Linked DNA regions of Arabidopsis thaliana. The protein of the gene in region 2 interacts with the protein of the main gene of each other region in a pairwise test. Each region holds a gene or a part of one and is shown on either strand. Other genes may lie near its edges.

Region 1 (3,595 bases), on a different chromosome or scaffold from region 2:
AGATTCATGTCAATCTCTTGGCGAATCTTGGTCACCACTAGAGGGTTTTCGGACAAAAACCAAAAGAACCAAGTGAGAGCAGAGGCAGTGGTATCTCTCCCAGCTAGAAGTAAAGCAAAGACATTGTCTCTTAAGAATTTATCATTGATAGGATCCAAGAGCTGGTACTGGGTTGTATCAAGCTTTATGTGAGATGTCAAAAGATTTGCATGACTATCTCTAATGAAATGATCATTATTATTCACTTGTGATCTTTTTACCTCTTCTCTCCTGGCTGATATGTATTTCCCACACACTCGATCAAAAATGGCACCAGCTTCTATCATCTTCTTCTCCATCCCAACTCCGATCCAGCTTTGTAGCTTCCACGAGAATCTAGGTTTAACGTGCCTATACATTATTCCTTCTACTATTGTGTCGAGAGCTTTAGCAGACTCAACCTCTGGCGTTTTAGCAGACTCATTTTTAATCTCATTTTGATTTATTTTTTAAAAATGATAGGATAGTTCCATTAATTACCAAAATGTTTGACAGAAACATAAAATTGAAATTGTGCTCCCAATTCTTTTACAAATCTTACTTAACCTAAATCAGGAATCAAACTTACTAAAAACTAAAAAGAAACTAGAACTAAGAGTTAAAATTCCTTAAGTCTCATGACATGAAGACGGAGATGAGTTCCCTGAGCCACCCAAAAACTGAAGCTCTCTCTTATCATAAATCTCCAACGAAAAATCCCTCAGCGGTTGCGTCGTTCCGCCACCGCTCGTTTCCATCTCCGCCTCAGCGTCTGAAGCGTTTGAGACATAACTAGACACCGGTCTAGCACCAACATTCAGAAACGGAGCTGTAGCAACGGTAGGAATAGCCCACATTTGGCCCATTTGATCCGGCCCACCAGTAACAAACGCAGTACCCATACCCATAGGCCAAAACGGCACAAACCCCTGTGTATTAACGTTCAGGATATTAACGCCGTAGTTTGACGCCGTTATCGGAGCTAACCCAGAAGTAACGGAGCTATGACAGCTGTCATTAACGTCTACGAAATCGCTCGTACAGTTTCTCTTCCTCCGTTTCTTTATTAGGTCACCGTCACCGTCACGGCCGCCGTCATTCAACACTGGAGAGCTCGTCGGGATTTTTAAAGTTCCGTTAACCGATACAGCAATAGCCGGTACAGTTCCGGTTCCGGTTGCTTCAATTATCGCCGGTTCAGCTCGTTCCAATAACCACCGTATCGTTTCTCCGTCGGATTTGTGACCAAGTTCACGGGTCAATTGAAAGACCCGAGCAGCGCAACCCGCCGGCATTCGGATCCTCCGACCTCGTCCTTCTACTTTCGTGTGACGGTCTTTAGAAGTCGGTCTCTTCGGAGCCGGTTTAGTCTTCACCGGCTGCAAATACCCGTCTTCTTGTTTCATGAGCATCATACCCGGTTTGGTTTTCGGATTCGGGTCAGACAGATGGGTCATGGTTGTTACTTGGTCAATCACTTGTATCGCGTTGCCTTCGTGATTCGATTCCATTTACCACAAAACCCTAGAATATCTGAATGTCACAAAACTTCAAAATCAGCCGAAGAATTGATTCAAGTAGGATATAGTCAAAATGTTTAGTTTTTACTGATTCTTTTGACGAAAAATGTTATCTGTTTGAATTTGACAGATTGAAAACTAAAGAACAGTGGATAAAAAAAAGTGAGGAAACCCTACAAAGGTAGAAAAATAAAATTAAAAAACCACAGCTAACCTTATCCTCTGCACGAAGAACCCTACAAAGATGGAAGAAGGGGCCCTCAAGATCATCGTTTTTATTTTTATATAGTCCCATTACAAATCAACGGTCTAGATCACATACTTCATATGGGCCTGTTTTAGCTAACTAATGGGCCTTGGCCTCGACCACATCACAAGAGTCATGTTGTGGAGCTAATTTTTTTTTTTTTATTGATAGTTGTACAGTTGAACCGGTTTCCATTTAAGAAGTGAACCAAACCAACCGAATTGGACAAAACCGAGCCATAACTAGGGCAATACAAAACTTAGCTATCTCAAAACTGAGTACTATTGACAAGTGCAGCTTATGTTCATTTCTGAGTATTATTGACAAGTAAAACCATTATTGTCTTGGTCTGAATTCTATCACCAAAACGACTAGTCTCTATTTTGATAGCATGTTACTGTTTTCGTAAAAACCAATTTGGTGTACCTAATCCCTTGTTGATTTTGTTGTATACAAGGTTGAAAAACTTTGGTCCCCACGAGAAGATTGGAACTGCGTAGTAAAACAAATAGTGCATGATTTACAACACCAAGATTCCAAACTACTCGGTAAATATTCTTGCAAGCTTAGGGTAAGCTTTATAAGAAATGATGGCAACAAAAAATGTCAATTACTAAGCATGACTCTCGAAGACTAGAGTATGAAGCTTGGAAATAAGGTTTCACCCGCCAAAAAGAAAACAATTCACTATTCATTATTTAATACTATATTTATAAGTTAAAATTATCAACATTGGTCATTTGTAATAATCTTTTGATGTTGACTACTAAAAAAATAGATTAAATAAAAGTATTATTCCATATTTTTATAATAGATTGATGTTTGGGATTTTTTCACATATTAAAAAAAAAACATTATCTAATCATTAACATTTTTTATATTAAATATTTTTAAGTTTAATTATGAGCTAATAAAATTAAAAGTTTAATTATTTTCAATCATTGCATTTTGAAATTTAGTATTTATCATACTAAAAATAAAAATAAAAATAACATCTAGAAAATCATTTGTGCAATAAATTTTATAAAATCAAAATTTTTAACAACCGAAGAAATATATAGCTGATATGGGTTTATTTTAGTTATTGGGCATTCATTTGCCCCGTTCATATCTACTTGACATCTAGGAATGAGCGAATTGTAAATAAATATATATGAGCTACCTTTTTTCGAAAGTTAATTATTTTTTTTTGAATCAGTAGCAAAATCAAAATTAGTGGGAGATAGAGGTGCTACTTGGACGCTAATGTTGACGCTGACTTTGTACTGAACAAAAATCAAAATTTTCATTGATACTTGAACCGGTTCTGATGTAAGAAGTGAACCAAAGCAAACCGAGCCAAAACTAGGCTATATGTTAACTAGACTACTTCACGGTTCTTATGTTCAAAAACATGAACTCCACATCTCACACTCTCTTTATCAACAAACTCTGAATCCAAAAACCGAGCAACGAATATCCAAAGTTTATAAACATCTTCGAAATTAGCAAGAAACCCTAACGCAGCAGTGAGAACAGAGATCCTTGGTTCGTCGACGTCTCTGTTTCTTTTCTTCTCAAAAACTCTATCTTTCACGCCTTCGTAGTCTTCTTGGAACAAGATGTTCTTCAAGAAACTTTTACCGAGTGAGATGTTGCTGCATTCGGCTAACTTCTGCACGATAAAAGGTTCGATTTTTTCGCCTTTATGGTTGAATAGATTGAACGCAACCGCTGGTCCTCGATTGAAATTAACTTTCGGACCGTAGATTTTAACTAGACGACTAGTTGTTGAATGTTTGAGTTTGTAGAGAGCACTTACCAACCAATT
Region 2 (3,362 bases):
TGTTTTGTCATTCATTTTTCACGTGTGTTTTGTCACCCTAGAAAGTAGTTAACAAATCTATCATAATTTATAAGTTCATAAATCGCAATTAACAATTGGTTTTCTTGATGTTCCAAATCCAAATTTATAGAAGCCACGTGAGCCATGCGGTCCCAAATATCCAAATACAGACAGATTCGTATTTCGAATCATCTGACACGAATATTCTTCATGGTGTTGCAATGACGATACGTGTATTCGTTTTCTTCATGGTTTCAAGAAATTTTGTAACAAATGCTGAAAGATGATGCACCAAGTTTCTATCAAAAAAATTGGACTGACTTTTATTTTTGACAGCCAGCATTTTTCTACTGATCTATATATAATTTAACTAGATATACATAGATTATTTTATATTCGAATGTTTACTTTTACTTTACATATAATTGAACTCATACTGTAAATATCAATAACACTTCCATCTAACTTAAGTGACTTCTAATTTTCAAAATTAAGAAAAATCCAAGCATGAAATTTTTCATGAAACGTGAAAGTATAGAGAAAAGAGTAATAATCAATTAACTTCAGTGCCGATAGTATATAAATTTGGGATAGCTGCCGAAAGCAAACAAATATATATAGTTGGGTCGGATCATTTCAGGGATTTCCTTATATAATAATTACTAAGCCCATTATAGCCCATAGTTTTATATACACACCTCACATTCCACACAAACACATCCGTTGAACAAATAATCGGCCCATTTATGGCCCATTATATACACCACACATGACATTTTCAACACAAACACTTTCAGGTCGGAGAAGCCGTGGAAATGACGGCGAGATTCTGTAGATTCGACTTAACGACCGTATCCACAAACATCCTTGTATCTTCTTCCGTGTTACCTTGTGGTATATCAACAATGTAAGACTCCAATACCACACTATACACTCTCTTCTTCTTATCCTTTTCCAAGACGACGAACTCGTTGACCGATGTAACCGACCGGTAATTATTTAACCGGTGTTCTCCTCCAAGAACACGAAAACTCAAGATTCGTTTCTCTTCGTCAAGAACTTCGAGTATCTCAACGCTTGTTGACGCTGGAAGACCAGAGACCACGCTAACTTCCCTTATAGTCCCAACTTTAATCTCTTTGATGCCGTTACCGTTAACTCTGATGGTGCAACTCTTGATGAAGTGTTTGTATTTGTTTGGATTGGCGAAGTCGCGGACGAATCTCCATATGGCATGTGCCGGTGCGTCTACACGGTGTGCTATGAGTGATGTGCACGTGTTTGGCGATCTTGGGAACGTGTGGTGTGTTCGGATGATGGAGTCTAGTGTTGAGAACTCGTCCTTTGTTAATCCGTATGGTGTTGACGATGATGTTGTTGTTGTTGATGATGATGATGGATCATGGATTGGAGCAAGATTCATGGTTTTGGGTGTACTTTAATTTTGAGAAGAAAATTGTGTACGAAACTAGGACTAATTCTCTTGACATACGTATATATATAGATATATAATGTGTTATGACTAATATTTGGAGTTGGGCTGCACGAAAATGCCTTTGTCATTTGGCTTTTTAGAAAATTGGGTGTACAAGTGTGAACGTGACATCAAATCTCATTATTGTATGACTCATTGGATCCTTCAGAAGCTACCTATAGATCAACTTTTTGGATAAACAATACGAAAATGAAGCATCAAAATGGAATCTAAACTAAATTTGTTAAATTGAATATGATATGCAAGACGTAGAAGAAAGATCAACGCCCCTATTAAGGGTGTATATGGTGGAAGAAGAGTTGTTTCTGATTTAGACTTTCGTATGGGCATTGGTTTGTATGCAAGTTGCGTGTATTACAAAGAAAAAACAAATCAAGATTAGTGTAACTTTGAGTTGAGCCCATGTCCAATACACTACACACAATATGTAAATTTTATTTTGTTGACTTTAGTCCATACTCTAATCAACACGTGATGTGCACGTGATAACGAAGTAGTGATGTTGTCGTCAAATCCGAGCCGTTTACTTTTCCGGCCATGGGGGCTTGAATTTGCCGGTACGATAGCGATAGCTTCTTAAACCAATTTGATAGTTTTTGGTAGCTTGTCCTTTTCAAATCTGGGCTTGTTAAGGAACATCAAGTTAGGAAATTGATTGGTATACTTCAACTTCTTCTTGTTGCAGTCTGTCTCTGATGTGGTGATTGTATCCGTCAGGTTTCTATGATACAGTATGCAAACCCGGCATTAGTTCACCGGAACCGATGTCTCCCGGTTTAGGAGTTGAATTTTGCTAAAACCGGCTAAAAAGTGCGCAATTTGGCCAAGCGTACTATTGCAGAAGAGGGACGATGGCGATGACAAGCTGGCCATCAACGGGAAGACAAAGAAGACATCAATTGGCTTCCATGTTGCTCCTGGTTCTTGTAGTTGTCGGAATCTATGTTCCTGTCTTCGCTCTTCTCCCTTCACTGTCATATACTCCTCAGTCTCTACCTTCTGCTATACCTCAGGACGAGAAGGTAAGCATGATTCATACTTCAGTGCTTTCTACTAATTGCTTCGTTTTAGTTGGAACCGAAATCAATGTAAACGTTCTAAACTTTCAGTTTTAAGAGATGCAGATGATATCTCGCAAGTTTTATATCAAGGATGACAATTTCTGGAAAGATGGGAATCGTTTTCAGATCATTGGTGGTGATTTGCATTACTTTCGTGTTCTTCCAGAGGTACATGTGTCTTTATAACAAGTAATCCATATGATTGCTAAGTAAGAAATCTTCAATATTTTCTGCTGTTAACCATCATTATGTTATGTTTATAATATATATGATTTGATGAATTAATGCCAGATTATGGATGCAGTACTGGGAGGATCGGCTTTTAAGAGCCAATGCTTTAGGCTTGAATACTATTCAAGTATACGTTCCTTGGAATCTGCATGAACCAAAGCCTGGGAAGATGGTTTTTGAGGGTATTGGTGATCTTGTCTCCTTTCTCAAGCTGTGTGAGAAACTAGATTTTCTGGTTATGCTACGTGCTGGACCTTATATCTGTGGAGGTCTGTGTTGTTGTGATTCTTATTGAGTTGATACCAATGTTTTTTACCACATTATGTGGAAGATTTGCTTATACAACGGAAAAAGTTCTGATACATGTTCCCATCTCCATGACAGAATGGGATTTGGGAGGCTTTCCTGCTTGGTTACTTGCTGTGAAACCACGTCTCCAACTAAGGACATCAGATCCTGTATATCTTAAGTTGGTAAGTTATCAGTTAAATGAAGTAAGTAGTAGATAGATAGTTGGAGTTGCAGTTAATCAGCTTGCAGTGTGCATTATTAATCTAAGATATATACACATTCAT

What was found. Proteins that work in one complex are often made in the same cells at the same time.
Region 1: the proteins of PYL3 (region 2) and AT5G51910 interact in binary tests that used the Arabidopsis thaliana proteins (3 or more experiments, as listed by UniProt).

Annotation. Positions count from the first base shown.
Region 1 is NC_003076.8:21,094,057-21,097,651, forward strand, and holds AT5G51910 (TCP family transcription factor), read right to left. Parts: upstream 1,836-3,595; 5' UTR 1,753-1,835; intron 1,647-1,752; exon of another isoform or gene 1,552-1,646; 5' UTR 1,530-1,551; coding exon 648-1,529; 3' UTR 510-647; downstream 1-509. Other genes in the region: AT5G51900 (Cytochrome P450 family protein), read right to left, coding at 1-398; AT5G51920 (Pyridoxal phosphate (PLP)-dependent transferases superfamily protein), read right to left, coding at 3,146-3,595.
Region 2 is NC_003070.9:27,461,153-27,464,514, reverse strand, and holds PYL3 (PYR1-like 3), read right to left. Parts: upstream 1,533-3,362; 5' UTR 1,424-1,532; coding exon 794-1,423; 3' UTR 547-793; downstream 1-546. Other genes in the region: BGAL17 (beta-galactosidase 17), read left to right, coding at 2,347-2,517, 2,620-2,724, 2,861-3,056, 3,172-3,260. UniProt on the Arabidopsis thaliana protein: Receptor for abscisic acid (ABA) required for ABA-mediated responses such as stomatal closure and germination inhibition. Inhibits the activity of group-A protein phosphatases type 2C (PP2Cs) when activated by ABA. Can be activated by both (-)-ABA and (+)-ABA.